5 linked regions of the Macaca mulatta genome follow. The protein of the gene in region 3 purifies or fractionates together with the protein of the main gene of each other region. This does not show direct contact. Links are inferred from orthologs where the notes say so. Each region holds a gene or a part of one and is shown on either strand. Other genes may lie near its edges.

Region 1 (3,907 bases), on a different chromosome or scaffold from region 3:
AGCCAGCAGGAGAGATGCAACTCCTAAAACTGATGCAGTGTTATAAAATAGCATATTTAAATATTGGGTTTAAGTCTCCTAATAATTCAGAGTACTTCTCTCATTTTCTTTCAGAAAGGAATAAGCTATTTTGAGAAAGACACTTAAATCCTACAATATTTAAATACAAAAGCATGTCTTTTTTTTTTTTTAAAGATAATGCTAATATAGCTAAAATGGGTTAGAAAGTGCATTATAAAGAAATAAATAATTCTCCGCTAAAACTCAGAAGGTTGAGTCAGTGCCCACTGTTTTTGCTGACAGTCATTTGAAAAAAGAAAATCCTATGGTACCACCGTTATATATAAGCTACTTAAAAATTATGAAAAGTGAAATAACTAAAACCTAAAGGCTGTTATCTTCAAAGCACTTTTGAAAAACAAACATAGCCCTTGTCTCATGCTTATATACCATTTTTTAAAATCCTCATTCAGTTGATGTCTTACACTTAGGCGTTATACCATCTTTAAGACACAGACCTCGAGTAGAGCATTTGTAAAAGAAAACCTCATTGAATGTAATATATTTTATCAGTTATCTTTGTATCATTGCTGAAATGTTTATATAACAAATTGATATCTGAATAAAATGTTCTGTAAAATATTAAATCAGGAATGTACATGATACAATACAATTCACAGCTTTCTCTTCTCGTTCGCCCAGATGAGATCCCTCAATTTCACGTTTAAAAAAAAACCTCCCAAGCCTTTTCGCAAAATTCATGGTAACTATCAGTTTAGGAATTGAATTACACAATATCAGATAAGAATATTAAAAGATCAAGATGTATTGCAAACTGGCAGGTTATGGTTTTGGCCCATTATAGTAAATGTGAACTTACAAACTGTGTTCCTAAAATTACCATATTTTCATTGGAAAAAATCAGCTGTTCTTAAATAGGCCCATTGCCAGCAATAGGCTTATACTAGGAAAAACACACACCACAAAAGATCATCCCTTTAAAAAGTTAACTGTCAAATCCTAACACTTTTCCCTCTTACAACCCATTAAACAATGAACTATTTTAAATCCCAAAACATAGCCATCCCAAAAGTAGTCAGCTATAAAAGTTAAGTAGTCAGAATACCTTGTTTCTAGAAAAATAGAGCTATACATAACTGATACTAATATTCATCCTTTCAAGGACAAAAATCTAATTTTGTCACAAAGTATACCCTCTATCAAGAAAAATATAACTTAAACACCCTTAAATAATATTTGTGTTGGATTTGAAATCTATAGCAATAATGAAATAGCCACAAACAATTTTCTGTGTAGATATTGTGGCATCTTGCAAAATAAGCCACTATTGGAAGATCTGAGTATGTGAAGACAGGATGACTTACAAAATCTTAATTAATTTTGCTTTAATTATTAATTTTGCTCTCTAAGAATTTAATATCCAAACTGCATTAACCTTCCGGTTTTCTTTTCTCTCAATTCAGTGGCTCTTAGAAAGCACAAGCATTGCTGGTTGTGCTCAAAAAGCTCCATTTAAATCCATTCATGATTGGTTATCACGAGATGACTTTGAAAATTTCTTTTCAAACACCCGGTTTAAAAGATTACATTAATAGTTTGCATTTAGCATGTAATTATTAGGTGTCAACATCCTTAAAAATACTTATATATTTTGTGAGTAAACTTGCAGCTCAATGTTTTTATACCAATCTTTCAAAGAAAGTAATGCTGGTGAACATGTCCAAGTTTCAGATTAACTTTGGTAGAATAAAAAGTTGAAATTCTCAAAATAATTTAGAAATGTAGTCTCAATATTATCATACAATAACCTAAATATTTAGTTTGGTAAACTTTCTTCCCTGCTCTTACTACCCTGTTTGCCCTATTGTGTGTAAACTGTAGTTCAATTTGTTAATTATCTTACTGTTTAATAGTCAGCAATACAGAATACAGGATAGTAACTGATCTTATTTCCTACTAATAGCCATGAGTCACTCTTAAAATATGCTGCCATTATGCTATGTAATGATCTCAAAGGGCAATATTACCTAAAATGTCAAAGGAAACAAACTGTTGATGATTTTAAAGTTCTATCAGTTATAATTCTAAGAAAGTGTAACACTGGGGGAAAAGAAAAGCAGAGAAATTCCAGTAACAATTTTATTTATCCCCCTAATTTTTATCATGGGAAAAATCCAGAAATCAAATGTCATTATGTTATATAAGGTTTAACTTACTTTAAACAAAAATGTAACATAGTGTTAAAACTGGCTTTCCAAAACAGTCACAGCATAGCTGTACTCTGTACTAATAATCACAAAGTTGTAATATAGAACTCTGTTATGCAGTCCCATTATGTTCTTACAAAAATAGAATTAAACTGTGTGACCAGACAAGGACTTCAATTATACTACTTGGCAAACTTAGAATTTCAATGGAGTCTTTTTCCTCTTGCAGTTTAAAGCAAAAGTCAAATATCACCTCTTTTTCAAGACTCACAAAGATGATTCAGGTTGTTTGTTTGGCATATTTTTAATCTCTATCACAACAGCAGGGATGTTTTCGGCTTTAGTCCTCCTGGGTTTCTTCTCTAGATTGTTACTAAGTTCTAAACAAGAAATGCTAACTGTTGGGGTCTTTTCTGCATCCTTTCCAGAATGGGCTTGTGGTAGTGTCCCACAACATTGCTTCAAAGCACACTGAGTTCTGCAGGCAAGTTCACACGGGACTACACTTGATTTAGAGCCTACACTAGCAAATTCAGGCTGAATGGTAGTAGCATGAATTCCGTGATTATGAAAAACGTCTTTAATGGTTTTAGCCACCTCCATGTATGATGTTGGATCTTCACATTTTATGTGAGCAGTGGCAATGATTCTGCTTCCAGCAAGCTGCCAAACATGTAATTCATGAACTTCCTCAACTCCTTCAACATTTCGAAGTTCTTTTATCAAATTTCTGATATCAATTTGTTTAGGAACAGTTTGTAGAAGAATCAGAGCAGATTCCTTAAGTAATGGATAGGTTGTGTAAAGAAGTATACAAACCATTACAACACAAAGAGTTGGATCTAAATATAGCACCCAGCAAGGACCAGCCTCATAAACTGATGCATGAGTACTATTAATTATTTCTACAAATGCTTTGCAGGGGTCAGGGAAACACGGGTTCACACAAAAATCCCCTTCAGAACAACCTTTCCAAGAAAAGTAAAAGACTAAAGCATTTACTACTACAATCACTGAACCCAAGGCATCTCCAAGGACATGCAGAAAAACTCCACGCATGTTAAGTTGTCCAGCCCTATCTTCTTCCAGTTCCACATGGTCAGGCTCTCTGATAAGATTTCCATTCACTTGTACTTCCACTGTATCACCACTTCTGGGTTTTTCTGGGTCTACAAAGAAATAAAAATTTTATAGCAAATACATTTAAAGTGTTTATATAAACATCCTCGTCTAATTCTTTTTAAGTGGTGATGAAGGTGAAAATTTTTTCACAAAGTACAATTAAAAAAATATGCCCAGAGCAATTTAATATAAATTGACATTCTGGGAACCAGCCAGGACATAATGGCCAGGGCTAAATTAAGTAATTGTGATACGGATTCTTCACCCTCCTAACCACTCTCCTGCCTCCTCCTCTCCAAAAGAGTATCTTTTCTATGGGGGTGGAGTCTTGCAAACATTCTGCTATACTTTATGGCCTATACAAAGGAAAACATAAAATTGAGTGCTAACACCAAAATTAAATGCAGCTAGGAATAAGTCTACTAATACAAAATACCTGATTTGACACTTGGGCACTCTCTAGTCACTCTTTGTCACTGAGGCCAATTGCTTGAGAATAAAACCAATTTTAACTTTTAAACTTTTATTATGAATACAAAAGTTTCTTGGTAGAGGGG
Region 2 (4,899 bases), on a different chromosome or scaffold from region 3:
CTTGGTGCCATTGAAATCTTTCTGGTAAGTAATGACTTCACTGTGGTCTATACTATAGAAGAAATATTGATTTTGGTTTATTCTTTGCTATGAAAGCTTCTGAGATCAGCTGTGGGAATAAATCAGGTGATTGACTGCTAACCTCAGTTGGCCTCTTACGTGAACATGAGGTGGAAAGGTTGCAATTCCCTTTGCCTGCGTTCCTGATTTCTACCTGATTGCCACCACTCTGCCACCTCATCCAGGAGGTTCAAGTCCAGTGGGGAAAAAGTAAAATAAAGTTTATCTTTTTTAATATCTTCATCCCTGTGAAATAAAATGCTTCTCATTTCTCTATTCACTGAGACATATTGTTTATTTAAAGTAGTGATAGTAGAATCAGGGTTAAAGATAATCATAATTACTTTATATAACCCTATGAATAAAAGTAATAATTCCTTTCTCTCCGTTTGGAAATGTAGTTATTCAGAACAGCATGTAGACAAAAAAAAAAAAAAAAAAAAAAATCCTTGACATCCCATTTCTGCAGGCATTTCAGATCCTATTAGAAACTAGGCTAACTCCCCAGTCATTTTGTCTCTCAGCTTTGCTTTCTTTTATGAAAGTAAATGCAAACGAATACAGCCTTTTTACTTAATTCTTTCTAAATAACATAATTTTCTCCTTTATTTTACCTAACAGGTCTATATCGTCCCCCGGGCTGCCATCTTTCGCAGTGATGATGCACTCAAGGAATCAGCAGCCATGCTAAATAACATGCGTGTCTATGGCACAGCTTTCTTGGTCCTTATGGTATTAGTGGTATTTATCGGCGTACGCTATGTGAACAAGTTTGCCTCACTTTTCCTGGCCTGTGTCATTGTGTCCATCTTGGCCATCTATGCTGGAGCCATCAAGTCTTCTTTTGCCCCTCCACACTTCCCGTACGTGTCTGTCTCTCTGCCTAGCCATCTTTGTTGGGTAGTAATTGAAAATATCTGGTGGTGTGATAATTTTAAGTCAGAATTTCATGGAGTCTCTCCGAGATTTTCCCTCTTGGATAAGCCCATTTAGAGTTCCTTCCCCATCTAGGCAGGAAGCCTCCCAGCAAACTATGTCCTGTTCATCCTCTTTCTTATGTCCCAAACATAGAACTAGTAACTGTAACCATAATTTATGTTCAGATATTAGATTTTTTTCTCCCTGATAATTGTACATAATCTTTTTTTAATTATACATATTTTGAACTATTCATAAAGGGCTTTGCAGACAGTGTAGTTATTGCCAGCAGCCTTTATAAGGTATTTAAATGTTGGATTTCTTTTACTAATGAAAAATCAGGGGAGTCAAAAGAAACCTAAAATCTTACCTAAAATGTTTAATTAATTAAATTTTTTTTTCTGTCAGTATTGTAATGGACTAGTCATAAAGGGAAATACTGTACAATTTGCATGCATCTCTCTATATATGTAATATTACATACTATAATACAGCTACTTTTTTCAACCTTGATTTTATTTTTTTTAATTTGTATAAACTTATGGGGGTACAGGTGTAATTTTGTTACATGCACATGTTGTGTATTGGTGAATTCAGGGCTTTTATTAAGAGTTGGAATCTCACTTTGTTGCCCAGGCTGGAGTGCAGTGGCATAATCTTGGCTCATTGCAACCTCAGCCTCCTGGGTTCAAGCAATTCTCCTGCCTCAGCTTCCCAATTAGCTGGAATTACAGGCATGTGCCACCACACCCAGTTCTTTTTTTTTTTTTTTTTTTTTTTTTTTGTGAGACAGTCTTGCTCTGTCACCCAGGCTGGAGTGCAGTGGTGCAATCTTGGCTCACACAACCTCTGCCTCCTGGGTTCAAGTGATTCTCCAGTCTCAGCCTCCCGAGTAGCTAGGACTACAAGCACACACCACCGTGTCCAGCTAATTTTTGAATTTTCGGTAGAGGTGAGGTTTCACCATGTTGGCCAGGCTGGTCCTGAACTCCTGATCTCAAGTGATCCGCCCACCTCGGCCTCCCAGAGTGCTGGGATTACAGGCGTGAGCCACTGCGCCCAGCCTAGGTCAGGGCTTTTATCCATTACCCAAATAATGTACTTTGTACCCATTAAGTACTCTCTCACCATTTACCTCCTCCTTCAACTCCCTAGTGCAAGTACTTTAAAGTATGTTTTTTGAAGTAGTAATGGATTTGTGCAGATCTGTGACTCACAGGCTCCCTTTTCCCTTTGACTAGTGGCATAGGGACTAGCTGGCACTGAGTGTTATTTGTAGTTTTGTTACAGAATTATCTTGAAGAGTCATCTGGATTATCTGAGGATCAAACTCATTGGTTCTATGTTGATTTAAACAGATTACAGAAAAAAAGATTTTTCAAGACAAAAAGACAGTTCCAATAGGTTTAATGACTTACCTCAAAGTTAATTAATGGCAGAGCAAGAAGATGAACTGTGATTTCCTGACTCCCCATTCAGTATTTCTTCTGTGCCACGCTACATGATGGCAGAAGAAGATTCCATCTTAAACTTTTAATCTGCTTATCTAGGGACTGTAATATAGCTGAAGGTCCTTTCTAGGGTCATACAATTTCTAAAGCTGACATTCTGGTTATATCTCAATTTGGGAAATTCCATTTTGTCTCAGGTTCACCTTTGGGACTTCTCCTCTTTTTTGATTAGTACACGGTCATAATGCATGGTATTTTCTTTGAGATATTCCAGCAAAACAAGACAAAAAATCTAGAATACATGAAACAAGACTGAGAAATGTTGAGAGTTGTTGAAGCTGAGTAATAGGTACATGGTTCATAATAATGTATTCAATCATTTTACAGATTTTAAAAGTCCCTTTGTTGGACCTGAGAGGTATTTTAACTATGGATGTATTATTCCTTTGTTTATATTTGTGTCTCTGGGTTAAAGAAAAAAATAAAACCAGCAGGTTAATATTTGTGTTATCCTTACCCTCACTCCCACTGGGTCTAGGCTTAAGTTCAAAAACAGTTTTCTCTTAGGCCATAGAGGGATCTGCCTTTTAATTCTGGCCAAGCTGTTTTCCTTGCAACAGTAGCCAGAAGATTCAACCTTTAGCATAACATTTTCAAGGGGTTTGTTAAGAATGTAAGGCTTTTCTAGGCCAAAAAAAGAGGAGTGCTTTTTTCTTTATAAGAACAACAAAAGAACTTCAGTATTCTTTTAGACCTAACAATTTTAGCCAAAAATTTTGGAAGATGAGTCAGCATAATGTCTTCAGACAGTTCTTCAATTTGAGTTCCTTCACTGCCACCTACCACCTATGACCTTGGACAGATAACTGTATTTCCCTAACCTTCAATTAACTCCCTAACTTCCTAAACTTCAGTGCTTCCATCCACAACATAGAAATTCTAATACATTGTGAGGTTGCTGTAAGGATTAAATTGGCAGAAAATGTAAGTCGCCATTCACAGTGCTAAAATAAATTATAAATAAATAAACATTAGTTCCCTTCCCACCCATGACAGTAGAAGCTCTTAAAGATGGGGTTCTTGTTTCCTTTACTAACCTGTTTCCTTTTTTTCTTTTGTAATGTGTTTTTTTCCCTTACTTGATCTTTCTCCCTATTTCTTTTCACTTAGGGTCTGCATGCTGGGTAACCGCACCCTTTCATCAAGACACATTGACGTTTGCTCTAAAACCAAGGAAAGTAACAACATGACAGTCCCATCAAAGTTATGGGGATTCTTCTGTAACTCGAGTCAATTTTTCAATGTCACCTGTGATGAATACTTTGTTCACAATAATGTCACTTCAATCCAGGGCATTCCTGGATTGGCTAGTGGTATCATTACAGGTAAGTTAGGGAGTTATTGGACAAGTTTTTTCCTATTTTCTGGGGAAAATAGGCCTTGTCATCTTAGATTCTTCTGCTGTCCATAAAGATTCACTGCCATGGTGCTAATTTCCTTAAGCATACCACACAGCTCTTAATTCAGCATATTTCTGCTTTTCCATTAGTAAAGCTGTCCTTATTCAGGACTCCTTTACAGAGTGATGTCTGCTAAAATTCACCTCCATTTCAGAGCAGAGTTGAGCAAATCACTTTCTAATCTTAGGATAAATTATTCTGTGCATTCTTGTAAAATTGCCAGTGTTCTTCCTGCACTGACAGAATAGAACTATTTTAATGTCCACATCCACATGTATCTTCCTAACTTAGCTAAATTCCTGAAACATTCCTTAAGTGGCTTCTATTATAAATGTTTGGTCTATAAATTTCTTTGCACATAAGTAAGTTTACATTAAGGTGTTAGAAACAGTGTTGATGACTAATAAATAATAATGGGATTTGTGGGGCATTTAGTTTTAGTCTGTTTAACTTTTACTAATTTGCATTAGTAAAGTTAAACTGTATTTGTATATACCAAATCATTTTGTCAAATTATATTTAAATTAGATAAGAAAGAACACTATGTTTGACTGGGCGCGGTGGCTCACGCCTGTAATCCCAGCACTTTGGGAGGCCAAGGCGGGTGGATTGCGAGGTCAAGAGATCAAGACCATCCTGGCCAACATGGTGAAACCCAGTCTCCACCAAAAATACAAAAATTAGCTGGGTATGATGGCGTGCACCTGTAGTCCCAGCTACTGCTACTCTGGAGGCTGAGGCAGGAGAATCTCTTGAACTGGGGAGATGGAGGTTGCAGTGAGCCGAGATTGTGCCACTGCACTCCAGCCTGGTGACAGAGCAAGACTGTCTCAAAAAAAAAAAAAAAAAGAGGCTGGGCAAGGTGGCTGACACCTGTAATCCCAGCACTTTGGGAGGCTGACGTGGGCGGATCACGAGGTCCGGAGATAGAGACCATCCTGGCTAACGTCGTGAAACCCCGTCTCTACTAAAAATAAAAAAAATTAGCGGGACGTGGTGGCGGGCGCCTG
Region 3 (4,899 bases):
TTGTTTAAAATGTCTATCTTTCTGTAATGATGAAAATTATATTAGTAGTTCAGTACTTTATGTTTACATACTTTAGAATTTACTAAGTGTTTTGTTTTTGTTTTTGTTTGAGACGGAGTCTCGCTCTGTCACCCAGGCTGGAGTGCAATGATGCGATCTCGGTTCACTACAGCCTCTGCCTCTGGGTTCAAGCAATTCTCCTGCCTCAGCCTCTTGAGTAGCTGGGATTACAGGCGTGCACCACCATGCCCGGCTAATTTTTGTATTTTTAGTAGAGATGGGGTTTCACCATGTTAGTCAGGCTGGTCTCAAACTCCTGATCTCGTGATCCGCCCACCTCAGCCTCCCAAAGTGCTGGGACTACAGGTGTGAGCCACCACACCAGCCTAAGTGTTGTTTTTAAAATGAAAATACTAGAATTAAATAAGCGGGGTTTAAAAAATTATATTGAATAGGGAAGAACTTTCCAAATATAAAATCCAAGAATCCTTTAAAAATAAGTTCAACTACATGAAAATAAGTGATTTGTATATTGCAAAAAAAAAAAAAAAAAAAAACAACCCTCCGTAAACTATTTCAAAAAACACACAAGAACCAGGAAAAATTATTTTCAATCATATAGCTGACAGAGAGCTAATTTCTTAATATAAAGGTGATGAGCTAAGAAAAAATAGTTTTTATGTATCACTTATGCTACTAAATGTACATTCAAAGTTCAGTGAGATACCAATTTTCACCTATCACATGGGCAAAAATCAAGAAGTTTGGTAACACTCTTCACAAAGACAGGAGAAAATAAGTACTTTTGCATGCTGCTGGTAGAACTGGAAATGGAGTGTAACCATTATAGAAAGTAATTTGGATGCTACTATCAAAATTTAAAATGTCCATAATCTTAACAATTATATTTTCACAGGTAAGAAATGGCATATATTCTAGGACATTCACTGTAGCATTGTTGGTATTAATAATAGTAAAATTTTGGAAACACTAAATGTCCTCCAAGATGAGATAAGCTAAATAAATTATGGTATATCCTCAAGTAGAAAACTATGCAGCTGTTAAGAATGAAGCCAGATATATATATACACATATATATATATGTGTGTATATATATATGGTCCAGCCAGGCATGAGCATGGTGGCTCTCTCTACTAAAAATACAAAAACTTAGCTGGGCGTGGTGGCAAGTGCCTGTAATCCCAGCTACTCTGGAGGCTAAGGCAGGAAAATTGCTTGAACCCAGAAGGCAGAGGTTGCAGTGAGCCAAGGTCGCACTATTGCAATCCAGCCTGGGCAACAAGAGTGAGACTCCATCTCAAGCGAAAAAACAATAATAATAATGGAGCTCCTAGAACAGTCTTAACACATAGTAAGCATGCAATATATATTTGATGAATGAGTTTTTAAGTAACAAAAGCAAGGTCTAATATATTATGTATAGAATGCTATCATTTGTATTAAAAAAGAATGTATACATGTGTACATGTATGCATAGAGCACAATGGGGAATATGTACCAAAAATTGGCAAGTTAGCAGAAGATTTAGGTGGGTGGTAGATGAGGACAAATCACAGGCACAAACAAAAGGGAGGGAAATAATTTTATGTGGTACCTTCTGAGTGTTGTAACATATGCATTTTTAAACTTTTTGAATAATTAGTAATTAATATAAAACATTGTATTTACAGGGATGAAAGTGAACCTGCCCAAATAGAAGATTCAAGTGCTGTTAAACCTGCTGGCTGGCTTGATGATGAACCAAAATTTATCCCTGATCCTAATGCTGAAAAACCTGATGACTGGTAATTACTTTTCATCTTTAAATGTCGATTTTAAATGTTTCTTACGTGCATTTTTGTTACTAGTTTATATGACTGATCTGAGACTTGAGGTTACTATATTTGCTTTAATATCCTAAGGAATGAAGACATGGATGGAGAATGGGAGGCACCTCAGATTCTTAATCCAGCATGTCGGATTGGGTGTGGTGAGTGGAAACCTCCCATGATAGATAACCCAAAATACAAAGGAGTATGGAGACCTCCACTGGTCGATAATCCTAACTACCAGGTAACAACCGCTTGTTCCAATTCTTTAGTGAAGTTAAAAAGGTTGTGATCTTTTCTGTTTAAATATCTAATTATCTATGTTAACTTTTGGAAGTTTCATTTTTAAGATGTCAGAGAAAATAGACCCCAACTAATTTATATTTTAAAAGTAGAGCATCAGTTATTTAATTTTCTGGGGAAATAAATCACTTCATACTATATTCTTCCTGAATTATCAGTTGATGTTCACTTTGAAATAAACTTCTATTTTAGAAGTAAATATAAGAAGTAAATTCTGATCAAATAGACACACATTGTACATTTTAGTAATTAATGCCTGTGCTTAATTAATGTACTTATTCTTTAGTATTATTAAAATTCTGATTTTTGGCCGGGCACGGTGGCTCACGCCTGTAATCCCAGCACTTTGGGAGTCTGAGGCGGGCAGATCATGAGGTCAGGAGATGGAGACCACCCTGGCCAATATGATGAAACCCCGTCTCCACTAAAAATACAAAAAATTAGCCGGGCGTGGTGGTGCACACCTGTAGTCCCAGCTACTCGCGAGGCTGAGGCAGGGGAATCTCTTGAACCCTGGAGGTGGAGATTGCAGTGAGCTGAGATCGCGCCACTGCAGTCCAGCCTGGCAACAGAGCAAGACTCAGAAAAAAAAAAAAAAAAAAGAAAAGAAAAAGAAGAAAACAAAAAACCCTGGTGCGATCTTGGCTCACTGCAACCTCTGCCTCCTGGGCTCAAGTGATTCTCCTGCTTCAGCCTCCCAAGTAGCTGAGATTACAGGTGCGCCCCAGCACACCTGGCTAATTTTTGTATTTTTAGTGGAGACAGGATTTCACCATGTCGGCCAGGCTGGTCTCGAACTCCTGACCTCGTGATCTGCCCACCTCGGCCTCCCAAAGTGCTGGGGTTAGAGAAGTAAGCCACCGAGCCCGGCCCTGATTTTATTCTGATATCAATCAGACATCTTTTGAGTGTACCTAGCTTTTTATATTAAAAGTTTTTATGTTATCCACTTAACCCTCTAGTTTTATCTTTGTAATTATTTATGGACACGTTCTAACATTATATATATACAGTTTCATATTCTAATTACTCACTGTAGTTTTTATTAAAAGCATTTAACACAAAATATTTCTTTTGGTAAATATTGTTTAATGTCTGTCTCTTTTATTCTACTTTAAACTCCCTAATACAAGAACCATGTATGTCTCCATCATCTGGCATAGTGCCTGGTCCAGAATACATACATGTGATGGCGGAGTGACTCAATGAGCAATAATGTTGTTGAATGTATTTGATTTAATTGACAGTTTAATCATTTAAGATCTAATGGAAGTTTTATGTTGAGTAGTTGTGCTGAGAGTCAACCATACCTGATTAATGATATCTGTCATGGGTATATGTTAAATGGAGTAACTCCATTTTTGCTATACAATAATCTTTCTGATTTGGACAACTTGAGTAACATTTTGCAATGAATTTTACTAAATCTAAAAATTTGTCTAAAATAGACAAATTGTGAAATTTATTCACGTTTCTGTTTATGTTGGATTTTCCCTTTTCCTTTTTTTGCAGAATTTAAAATCATTATCCCTCATAGGAAACATCGGGTACACAGCAAAAAGAAACAATATTTTATTTCCAGTATGTTACTAATGAATTAATATCAGTTAAAGTTTTCTTTTTTCCAGTTAGCATTGTGAATTTCATTCAACAGCAGCTATTTATTAAGCAGCATTTATAATGAAGTTATTTTATTTGAAAATGTCTTCAATTACTTTTTCTTCCAGGGAATCTGGAGTCCTCGAAAAATTCCTAATCCAGATTATTTCGAAGATGATCATCCATTTCTTCTGACTTCTTTTAGTGCTCTTGGTTTAGAGCTTTGGTCTATGACCTCTGATATCTACTTTGATAATTTTATTATCTGTTCGGAAAAGGAAGTAGCAGATCACTGGGCTGCAGATGGTTGGAGATGGAAAATAATGATAGCAAATGCTAATGAGGTATGGTGTTGACCAATAACAGTAGTGATATAACTATGAATAATGATAATAAGATTTGGTCTTGGTTGTAGGTTATTCAAATGGCTCTTTTAAAGGCAAATAAATGTGCAATAATTACTAAATGCCAAGGAAATGTGTTTGAATAAGTTTATGCAGACAAAATATTTTGCTTTTTATGTTACTTCATTATGAACTACATATGCATATGTAAGTCCTCATTTTATTCATTGAATTATAATATCTCTAATGGGATTTAATGCTTATTTACTGTTTATAGAAGAAGATTACTTAATATCTTTGTCATCTTGCCAATTCAAGACCTAAGTGATAATGATAATCTAAATATTACTGTTTATTTATTTTAACTATTTTTTACTTAGAGGAATGTACAAATAATTTATATTTTAACATTATTAAATTCTGTTCCAGTTTTTTCCCAAAATCTTTTAACACTGTTTAGAAAAGGTTAAGCTAAATATTTCAACACAATGCATCTTAGAAAATATATCTTTAAATTCAGTTGCTATAAAGAAAAATTCTTACCTTACATTTGGTTCCTTGGGTCACTAGCGAAAAACCATCAAAAGAGTAGGTAAAGAGGGATTCTCGTTTTGAACCTCTTGTACCTAAAACATTTGATTTTTTTAAATTTTATTTTAATAAGAGAAATAATATTCTTATTGAGGGTCTTGTATGTGACATGTGTTTATATAAAAAAGAAAACAATTCTGAGGTATGATTTTAATAAGTTCTTTAAAAGTACAGAATGAATGATCACTTCAAATAAACCAGGTAATACATCCATAAAAGGTAGTTCTATTCTG
Region 4 (4,899 bases), on a different chromosome or scaffold from region 3:
CTGCAAACTAAATAGAATAGGACAAGGGATTTTCTTTGTTTTTATTAGGTAATATTTACTGTGACTCCACAACCAGTGGCTTCCAGACCTTGATGGGCAAATCAGTTAGATGTTTTGCTAAAGCGGGTCAACTAGTCCGTGAACTTGCTGTTGGCTGAAACCAAGCCAGCAATGGGAGCAGGCTGCAGAAAGAACAGTTTTAAGGGATGCTGATCTATTTTGTATGATTAGGAGAGAGGCCATAAATCTGTTGGCTTTGCCCTTCACCCTCAGATGTCCCTGACTGGGCAGTGTATGCAGAACGCCCCCGTGGCATTTCTTCACAATTTTGATGTTAAATGCGTTACTGATTTGGAAGTATACCAAGAACGAGATGGTATTATCAATGCGAAGATAAAGAATGTTGCCTTAGGAGGTATGTGACATTTCTTTGAGAAAAGAACGCAGACCCAAACATGAAGATAAAGTGCGATCTCATGAGAGTATAAATCATTTCTACTGGTTCAACTTCAAATAATATTTTAACTGCCAATTATTTTCTTTGGACAAAGTTTAGTTCCATAAGACAGCATATTGCATATTAATTATTTTGAAATTGAAGTACAATTCAAATAACATAAAATTAACCTTTTTGTTTGTTTGTTTTGAAACGGAGTCTCGCTCCATTGCGCAGGTTGGAGTGCAGTGGCGCGATCTCAGCTCACTGCACCCTCTGCCTCCTAAGTTCAAGCGATTCTCCTGCCTCAGCTTCCCAAGTAGCAGGGTCTACAGGTGCACGCCACCACGCCCAGCTAATTTTTTTGTTTTTAGTAGAGATGGGGTTTCACCATGTTGGCTAGGCTGGCCTTGAACTCCTGACCTCAGGTGATCCGCCTGCCTCGGCCTCCCAAAGTGCTGAGATTACAGGTGTGAGCGTCTGCGTTCTGCCAAAATTAACCATTTTAAAGTGTACAATTCATTGACGTTAGTACCTTCTACACTGTTGTGCCACCATCACCTCTCTCTAGTTCCAGAACATTTCATCCCCTCAGAAGGGCATCTGTCCCCATTCGCAGTCACTCCCTACCCCTCCTCCCTCAGCCCCTGGCAGCCACCAGTCTGCTTCCTGTCTCCATGGATTGCTTATTCTGGGTGTTCCCCAGAAACAGAAGCATACACTGTGTGGCCTTTTGTCTCTGGCCTCTTTCACTTAGCATGGTGTTCCATGGTTCATCTGTGTTGTAGCGCATGGCAGCGCTTCATTCCTCTATGGCTGAATCGTAGTCTGTCGCATGGACAGAGCACATTGTATTTGTCCATTGTCCATTCATCAGCTGATGGACATATGGGTTGTTTTCATCTCTTGACTGTTGTGAATAGCGCTGCCATGAACACTCATGGCCAAGTTTTTGCGTAGATGTATCTTTTTATTTCTTTTGGGTAGACACCTAGGAGTGGAACTGACAGGTCATGCTAGTATGACTTCTTGAGGATCCACCAAATTGTGTTTTTTGTTTTTATTTTTGTTTTTTGAGACAGTGTCTCGCTCTGTCACCCAGGCTGGAGTGCAGTGGCATGATCTCGGCTCACTGCAACCTCTACCTCCCTGGTTCAAGCGATTCCCCTGCCTTAGCCTCCCAAGTAGCTGAGATTACAGGTGTGTGCCACCACACCTGGCTAATTTTTTTGTATTTTTAATAGTGACGAGGTTTCACCATGTTGGCCAGACTGGTCTCGAACTCCTGACCTCAGGCAATCTACCCGCCTCGGCCTCCCAAAGTGCTGGGATTACAGGCGTGAGCCACCGTACCCGGCCAATTGTTTTCTACAGTGTCTGCACCATTTTGTATTGCCACCAGCAGTGAACTGCATATTTGTTTTTATGTCAGTGACCCTGGTTTTTGTTTGTTTGTTTGTTTGTTGTGGATTTTCCTCCTCAGTTATAATTAGACACTAAGAGGACGGGGACTCCTATCTGATGGTTTTTGGGGAGTGGGGAGAGTTTTGTAGTCACCACTCTGGGCAGTTGTGGTCACCATATTTGCTTGATCAACTATACTTTGACTTAGTGTGATCATGATAGGCCATGTGTACGCCTGTGGAAGTTATTTTATGTTCTCTCTTTAGGCACAGTTACACCAAAAGTAATCTATGAGGAAGCAACTGACCTAGACAAATTCATCACCAATAGAGGTATTTAATGTTACACTTTGACGTCATTTCTTCAGAAATAGATATGTCATTTCTTACAAGTAACATATACCCCCAGAGTATGTATTTTTGTTAGTCATTTAAAAAGGTTCACAATCGTTAGAAAAATCTGCCAGGCGCATTTCATTTGTTCCTCGTTCTGTCTTGCTGGGCTTTAGAGTGCTCTCTGTGACGGTAAGCCTGCTCCTCCACGGTCCTGGATTCTCTGAGTTCCACCGTCCCTTCTAGTTCCAGCTTCCATGAAACTTTCCTTAAATGTTTGATAGTTAAAGAATTCTTTTTTTTTGTTGTTTGTTTTTTTTTGAGACGGAGTTTCGTTCTTTTCGCCCAGGCTGGAGTGCGATGGCGCGATCTTGGCTCACTGCAACCTCCACCTTCTGGGTTCAAGCAATTCTCCTGCCTTAGCCTCCCAAGTAGCTGGGATTACAGGTGCCTGCCACCATATGCCCGGCTAATTTTTGTATTTTAGTAGAGACGGGGTTTCACCATGTTGGCCAGGCTGGTTTCAAACTCCTGACCTCAAGTGATCCACCTGCCTTGGTCTCCCAAAGTGCAGGGATTACAGGCGTGAGCCACCGTGCCTGGCCCAGTTTGGCTAATTTTACCAGAACTTTAATTTTTAATGAAGGATACTATTTCTTTCTTTCTTTTCTTTTTTTTTTTTTAATTTGAGACAGAGTCTTGTTCTGTCGCCCAGTGCAGTAGGGTGATCTCAGCTCACTGTAACCTCTGCCTCCCGGGTTCAAGTGATTCTCATGCCTTAGCCTCCTGAGTAGCTGGGATTACAGGCACCTGCCACCATGCATGGCTAATTTTTTGTATTTTTAGTAGAGAGGAGGTTTCACTCTGTTGGCCAGGCTGGTCTTGAACTCCTGACCTCGTGATCTGCTTGCTTCGGCCTCCCAAAGTGCTGTGATTACAGGCGTGAGCCACCGTGCGTGGCCTAATTTTTGTATTTTTAGTAGAGATCGGGTTTCACCACGTTGGCCAGGCTGGTCTCAAACTCCTGACCTCAGGTGATCCACCCGCCTCGGCCTCCCCAAGTGCTGGGTGTCTCTTTCTGATGTGTTGTACTTCTCAAATTTATTCATTAGCTCATCAAATGTTAGTGGAGTTCCTACGCTGTAATAGAGAACTAGACAGCGGGCCCCTGCCCTGGCGGAACTGACCCTCTGGTCTTTCATCTCACAAACATTTTACCAAGTGTGTGCTCCATGGCAAGCTATGAGCCAGGTGCTGGGGATATAGAAATGAAAGGAACAGATCTCATTCTGGGTACCATGACGGCATAGGGGAGGCAGCTAATGGTGACTTGATGGGACCAGGGCAGGCTTCCTCAAGGAAGCAGTGACCATGCCATGTTAGGGAGCTGGAGATAGGAAGGGCAGGGGCGGGGCAGGGCATTCGGGAAAGGCCACGCAAGCAGAGAGAACGTCCCAGTAATAGAGTCAGGCTCAAAGACGGTCTTTAATTTATGAACATATTCTTGTATTTGCAGAAACTCCTTTAAATAACAGATCAGCCCCCAGAATCGTGAATGTGGAAGAACATTATATTTTCAAATGGAATAATAATACCATCAGTGATATCAATGTCAGAATTATTAGGGCAGAGATTAATGCCCACCAGAAAGGTAACTTTAATGAGGGTAGCAAACATGCTTTCACTGAAAAGTATTTTTTTTTCTCTCTTCAAGATTCTCATAATTATAACCCATAAAATTAAGTTAGACTTGTTTCTTATGTGCAAGACTTGTTTCTTGTTTCTTTATGATTTAATCAACGAGAGTATACTTTGAATGTCAAAATGCAATTTTAAGATAAAGCACTATGGAAAATAATTTCTTTTCCTAGTGAAATGGTGCACATTATATTTTTATTTTGTTTTATTTCTAGGGATAATGACACAGAGATTTGTAGTAAAATTTTTAAGCTATAATAGTGGTAATGAAGAAGAATTATCTGGAAATCCAGGTAAGATGAGTGTATACCAGTCACTGATCTTACAAACGTACTTTAGTTCAACACTCCCAGCCATCAGGATGGTTATAAGTAACTCTCTCCAATTTTAGTTTCTGACTCTGACCTTCCTTTTTCTTTATTCTCTCTCTCTCTCTCTTTTTTTTTTTTTTTTGGAGACAGAGTCTTGCTCTGTTGTCCAGGTTGAAGTGCAGTGGCACAATCTCGGCTCACTGCAATCTCCACCTCCTGGGTTCAAGAGATTTTCTTGCCTCGGCCTCCTGAGTAGCTGGGATTACAGGTACACACCACCATGCCTGGCAAATTTTTTTTTAAAATCACACAACACAGGAAGGTTTATTCATCTGCTACTTCTCCAAAGGGAGGCTTGCAGGGTTGCTCACTTTAATATAATTTTTATATTTTTAGTAGAGACAGGATTTCACCGTGTTGGCCAGGCTGGTCTTGAACTCCTGACCTCAAGTGATCTGCCCATCTCGGCCTCCCAAAGTGCAGAGATTACAGGCTTGAGCCACTGCGTCCAGCCAAGATACACTTATTATGTATACACAAGCATTCCAAAATCTGAAAAAATCCCAAACACTTCTGGTCTCAAGCATTTCGGATAAGAAATGCTCAACACCTGTATGATACAGTTAAGACAAATATGGCTAAATGTTAACAGCTGTTGATTTTGGTGTGGCTGTATTGGTGTTCATGGTATTACTTTCAACTTTTCTGTACATGTGAA
Region 5 (5,453 bases), on a different chromosome or scaffold from region 3:
ATATTTCAAGTGCTCAGCAAACGATGGTGTTCGTCTCCATAAAGTCAAGTTTAAAAATACAAGGGCCAGGCGCGGTGGCTCACGCTTGTAATCCCAGCACTTGGAGAGGCCTAGGCGGGCGGATCACGAAGTCAGGAGACTAGACCATCCTGGTTAACACGGTGAAACCCGTCTCTACTAAAAATACAAAAAATTAGCCGGGCGCGGTGGCGGGCGCCTGTAGTCCCAGCTACTCAGGAGGCTGAGGCAGGAGAATGGCGTGAACCCGGGAGGCGGAGCTTGCAGTGAACCGAGATCGCGCCACTGCACTCCAGCCTGGGGAACAGAGGGAGACTCCATCTCAAAAAAAAAAAAAAAAGAAAAAGAAAAACAACAACAAAAAACCAAACAAACAAATAAAGTACATAAATAAAAACCAAGTGACTGGAGGACGCCATTGATTGATTTTACTTAGGGCTTTGGGCATAAACTAGGTTTAAAAATTTCTGCTGCTGAGAAAGTAGGAAAACAGTTATATTCCCTTACATTTTACCGAAGAGAAACTAGACCTGCAGAGGAGTACCTTTCTGTTTCTATATAAACAGAGGCATTTTGCACAACCCAAATCACGCAGAAACCTCCTGGTAAGGACTTCACGGGTAGTTATTGCCGGCATTGTATTCTGAGAGATGAGCTTCATATCACTTCTGGAAATGCCTTAAATTAAAACTCATCTTGAAACAACATGACGTCTCAACGAGGCTGCCTTCTCACCTTGGAACATCAGGTTTTAAAATAAAGGTGTCATCAGAAGTGTGGAGACACCCACTGCATCACAACTGGAATCAATCTCTGGTTATGCTAACCTAGGTCTGCCGAGCAGGGTAAGTCTACTGCTCGAAAGCGGCACAGAGGAAATCCTCCCACCCCTGGGTTCAGGCCCGGAGTTACGAGCGGAGATTCCCGGCGGCGTGCCAGAGCCCAGAGCAAACCCGGCTGGGGAACGCACCTCGCCCGCGGCTCCGGAAGCGGCTGCGGCCCCGACCGGAAAGCCCCCAGCATCGCCCGCAGGAATAGCTGCGAGCCTGCGGCTCCAGCCCGGCCTCGGGTACCACGCGCCTAGTGGGAAGCGGCACTGACGCCTGCAGCATCTCGCGAGATTTCCGGCTCAGCCCAAGTACTGCGAGTTCATCAAAGAGGAGGAAAAAAAAAAAAAAAAGCCAGCGGGCGAGAGCCTCTGAAGTCGTGGCTGGGGCGCTGGGGTGGCAGCTTCCGCGGGAGCATCAGCTACCGGCGTGAGGCAAGGCAGGGCCAGCGCGCCGTTCGCAGCCCCGTTGCCTGGGCTGCCGGTTCACTGACGCGCGGCCCCCGGGTGGAGAGAGGGGAGGCGGCCTGGGAGCCCGCTCCTTTTCGCCGCAGAGCGCGGCGGGGGAGGGAGGTGAAGGCGTGGGAGGAGGGCGACGGAAGAGGAGGTAGCGGCGTGGAGATCCTCCCGGCGACATCACCGAGGCGGAGGGCGGCCGCGCCTGCTCCCAGATCGCGCCGTTCGTGCTGCCCGCACTGCCCGAGGCCCGGCGCGGGCTGGCTGGCCGCGATCCTGGCACCGGCCGCTTTCGCGTGGGGTCGCGCAGGAGCAGCGGAGGGCCGGATCGCTGAGTGAGCGTCAGCCGCGCGCCGCTGCGGGACCGTGGGTGGGCGGGCTGAGAGGCGGAGGAGCCTCCGGCCCCGCCTCCCGCGTGCTGCTGCCGGAGCCGCAGCAGCCACAGCCCCGCCGAGGCTTTAAACAGCGGGGCCCGCCCCGCGCCCGCCACACTCGCGCGCTCGCTTGGCTGCCAGTGGCGTCTGTGCCGTCCCAGCTAGAGGCGGCCAGCGGGCGGCGGGGAGAAAGACTTCCTCACCTGGTCTTGCGGCCGTGGCCACCGCCGGCCAGGGGTGCGGAGGGCGTGCTGCCGGAGACGTCCGCCGGGCTCTGCAGTTCCGCCGGGGGTCGGGCAGCGATGGAGCCGGTGCCCACGGCGCCCTCCTCCGGCGCCCCGGGACTGGCCGGGGTCGGGGAGACGCCGCCAGCCGCTGCGCTGGCCGCCGCCAGGGTGGAACTGCCCGGCACGGCTGTGCCCTCGGTGCCGGAGGATGCTGCGCCCGCGAGTCGGGACGGCGGCGGGGTCCGCGGGGAGGGCGCTGCGGCGGCCGGGGACGGGCTGGGCAGACCCTTGGGGCCCACCCCGAGCCAGAGCCGTTTCCAGGTGGACTTGGTTTCCGAGAACGCCGGGCGGGCCGCTGCTGCTGCGGCGGCGGCGGCGGCAGCGGCGGCGGCTGGTGCTGGGGCGGGGGCCAAGCAGACCCCTGCGGACGGGGAAGGCGGCGGCGAGAGCGGGCCGGCTAAAGGCAGCGAGGAAGCCAAGGGCCGCTTCCGCGTGAACTTCGTGGACCCGGCTGCCTCCTCGTCGGCTGAAGACAGCCTGTCGGATGCTGCCGGGGTCGGTGGCGACGGGCCCAACGTGAGCTTCCAGAACGGCGGGGACACGGTGCTGAGCGAGGGCAGCAGCCTGCACTCCGGCGGCGGCGGCAGTGGGCACCACCAGCACTACTATTATGATACCCACACCAACACCTACTACCTGCGCACCTTCGGCCACAACACCATGGACGCTGTGCCCAGGATCGATCACTACCGGCACACAGCCGCGCAGCTGGGCGAGAAGCTGCTCCGGCCTAGCCTGGCGGAGCTCCATGACGAGCTGGAAAAGGTGAGCTCGCCCGGCCCTCCCTTCTTCCCCAGCCCCTGGTGCATGCCGACCGCGGGATGTGGCTGCAGACTCTTCCCGAGTTGAGGTGGCAGGAGTAGACATGCACGACTTGCTGGCATCTCTGGATTCAGCTGTCAAGGGTGGAATTGCAGAGGAATGTAACTTAATCTCTTAAAAAGTTTGTAGCGGGTTTGGCTAGTTAAGTGATACTGGAGGGCTGCTTTTAACAACCTTCCCCATCCAGTTAGGTATCTCGTGTGCACTTTGTTTCCCACCCACGCTTAACAGTCACCACCCCTCTGAATGACAGTTGTGTTTGTGGGCCCTTGAGAAGAGAAGGTGCAGGAGGTTTAGGTGAGGACCTCTCTCGGAAGAGGTTGGAGAGCACCTACCATCTGTGTCGTTTTAAAAGATTGTGTTGTGTGGCTTATGTACGCCTATTAGGGATCCCAACAGTGGGAATGTTGGTGTTGGAAGGAAAATCTTAACAGGGTGTGTTTGTGGTCTATGAGTTATTAAAGCTTAATTCTTGCAATCTTGAATATGCAAAGGATCATAGAAATCTTAAATCTTGGGACACTCTGTTCCTGATAATGGCATAACTCTTTTTTTTTTTTTTTTTTGCAATGAAAACGTTTTGGGAGAGGTGTATATTTAAAAAATTAGGGAGAGGGGCGAGTCTTTAAAGAAAAAAGGGAAACGGGAGAATTGGTTTTTCTGTAGAAGATGACCTGGAAGACCTCTGGGGTCTTTACAATAAGCAGTTACACTTTGTAAACAGAAAACCATCCCCATAAACTCATTGATTTTTGTAATTCTGTTTTTTTATGGTCACATAAGACTGTTATTTCTTCAGTGTTCAATATAATTGTTTTGAGATAACATTTATGCTTTTGAAATTTCATTAATGTTTAACTTTTTTATGAGCCGGAATTACTTGAAGTCTTCCTTTACAAGTGTGTAATGACTACATTGATGGAATTTTGTAAACGCCAGAGGATAGTACCACATAGGTTGAAATGATCATAGTGTGGAAAAGTTTAAATCCAGTATGTGATTTCTTTTGGATATGATTATTTGATCTCATACAGTGATTTCATACAAGACTGTACTTGTCCCAGTGTTTGATAATGTAACATTCACACAGAGGTAATTACAGAGGCCCCAACTCTTACAGCTTATTGATTGTTTAAAAGCCTGAGATCATTTGGCTTTAGATAATATTATTGTTCCATTGTGGTATTTTATCATAATCAGAAGCAAAACAATGTCTAAAACATTTTTTATTCATACTTCTGTAGTTTCTATCAAGTCTATTTTTTCTTTTCAAAACCCAAAAATCATTGTAGACAAAAGTAGATATGAAGCTAGCAATTTTCCTTTTCTTAGGACGTATTTACTAATGAAAATATTATACAGATATATTTTAGATTTATTTTACCAAAGCTAAGTAGGTGAGCAGTAAAGTGATCTGTATTTACCCATAAGTTTTAGAAAGACATCCAGTTGAAAGGTATGTATCTTGAGCATATATGCTTCCTATGGGAGTTTTTGGTATTTTGTATTAAATGATCTCAGTAACAAAGCACTTAAAGTTCTCCAAAGCTTTAGATTTGTGTGTCTTTGTGTTTTTCGCTTGGCTTTTTGGTTCAAAGTGTCTAAAAAACAACACCTGTATTGTTTGTTGTACGGCAGTTGAAGAAATCACCCAACCTCTCAGCTTCAGCTTTTCAGGGTTATTATGAAGATTAGAAAAAAAGTGCAATAAAAGTGACCATGTTCAGTGCCTGGAAAATAATAGCTAGTTGTTATTTCCCTCTTATATTGGCCCTTCAGAAGACTCTAGGATCTCAATTTTAGATTCTCTTAATTCTTATGTTATTAGATGAATATAGTATATAAAATGTTATGTTCAGTTTCATTTATGCAACAGGTAGTTTAATTCTTTATAGTTTTTTACCTTCTGCCACTCATAATCTTTATGGCCACTGTTTTCTTGGCTTAACTAATAACTACATGTTGAAGATAATTTTGGTTAGAATTTTAGCAGATGGATTAAAGAAATGGGTGTTAAGTAGTACAATTATGACTATACACCACTGTCGAAAGACGGGCAGACAGTAGGGGTGATAACAGGTTGGCTGGATTCCCAGAAGTTGTCCCTTACTCTGTCTAAATTGACTTCCACCTCTCTAACACCTCTAATGCTTCTAGCCTTCAGTGAATTATAATATTTAGAATTTTTATAACACCTAATTCTAGCAGTCGATTGATTGACATATACTCTACTTTGGTCTACTAAGTGCGTAATTATCTACCATGGGACTAACTCTGTGTTGGGAACTGTAGAAGAACAAAAGAAAGTAAAAGACTTCAGAAACTTGTTAGGGAAAAGGACTGGATTGTCTTTCCTCCAGTTGAATTCCTTTCATTATCCATCACTGACTTTAAAAGTATTTTATCTAGATGTCCAACTGTAGGGGAATAGATAAATATCCTTGGCACATCTTGCTATATTGTATAGCCATTCTAGGACCAGTAGGTATGAGTTCTCCATTTATTAAATAGTTATTGGGGAAGGTGGTATCTTAGATGTTGACAACATGGTTGTGACACTGTGGGATTACACGGTGATTAGCAAACCAGTTACTGCTTCTGCCTAGACAGACATTAACAAAATAGTTGGACAAATAATATAGTTAATAACTGTTTTTTAAGTATTATGAA

The links.
Region 1: the proteins of CLGN (region 3) and SLC30A1 purify together in Homo sapiens (co-immunoprecipitation; 3 studies listed by BioGRID and IntAct, with this or other methods). This does not show direct contact. The link is inferred for Macaca mulatta from reciprocal best matches to the Homo sapiens genes CLGN and SLC30A1.
Region 2: the proteins of CLGN (region 3) and SLC12A6 purify together in Homo sapiens (affinity purification with mass spectrometry; 3 studies listed by BioGRID and IntAct, with this or other methods). This does not show direct contact. The link is inferred for Macaca mulatta from reciprocal best matches to the Homo sapiens genes CLGN and SLC12A6.
Region 4: the proteins of CLGN (region 3) and TCTN2 purify together in Homo sapiens (affinity purification with mass spectrometry; 3 studies listed by BioGRID and IntAct, with this or other methods). This does not show direct contact. The link is inferred for Macaca mulatta from reciprocal best matches to the Homo sapiens genes CLGN and TCTN2.
Region 5: the proteins of CLGN (region 3) and SLC12A2 purify together in Homo sapiens (co-immunoprecipitation; 3 studies listed by BioGRID and IntAct, with this or other methods). This does not show direct contact. The link is inferred for Macaca mulatta from reciprocal best matches to the Homo sapiens genes CLGN and SLC12A2.

The regions. Positions count from the first base shown.
Region 1 is NC_133406.1:69,311,023-69,314,929, forward strand, and holds part of SLC30A1 (proton-coupled zinc antiporter SLC30A1), read right to left. Parts: intron 3,398-3,907; coding exon 2,496-3,397; 3' UTR 1-2,495. UniProt on the Homo sapiens protein: Zinc ion:proton antiporter that could function at the plasma membrane mediating zinc efflux from cells against its electrochemical gradient protecting them from intracellular zinc accumulation and toxicity.
Region 2 is NC_133412.1:11,448,400-11,453,298, reverse strand, and holds part of SLC12A6 (solute carrier family 12 member 6), read left to right. Parts: coding exon 1-24; intron 25-681; coding exon 682-923; intron 924-3,599; coding exon 3,600-3,814; intron 3,815-4,899.
Region 3 is NC_133410.1:149,271,558-149,276,456, reverse strand, and holds part of CLGN (calmegin), read left to right. Parts: intron 1-1,691; coding exon 1,692-1,805; intron 1,806-1,922; coding exon 1,923-2,073; intron 2,074-3,859; coding exon 3,860-4,075; intron 4,076-4,899. UniProt on the Homo sapiens protein: Functions during spermatogenesis as a chaperone for a range of client proteins that are important for sperm adhesion onto the egg zona pellucida and for subsequent penetration of the zona pellucida.
Region 4 is NC_133416.1:131,117,477-131,122,375, forward strand, and holds part of TCTN2 (tectonic-2), read left to right. Parts: intron 1-273; coding exon 274-415; intron 416-2,106; coding exon 2,107-2,172; intron 2,173-3,688; coding exon 3,689-3,823; intron 3,824-4,085; coding exon 4,086-4,163; intron 4,164-4,899.
Region 5 is NC_133411.1:137,044,351-137,049,803, forward strand, and holds the start of SLC12A2 (solute carrier family 12 member 2), read left to right. Parts: upstream 1-1,810; 5' UTR 1,811-1,976; coding exon 1,977-2,726; intron 2,727-5,453. UniProt on the Homo sapiens protein: Cation-chloride cotransporter which mediates the electroneutral transport of chloride, potassium and/or sodium ions across the membrane. Plays a vital role in the regulation of ionic balance and cell volume.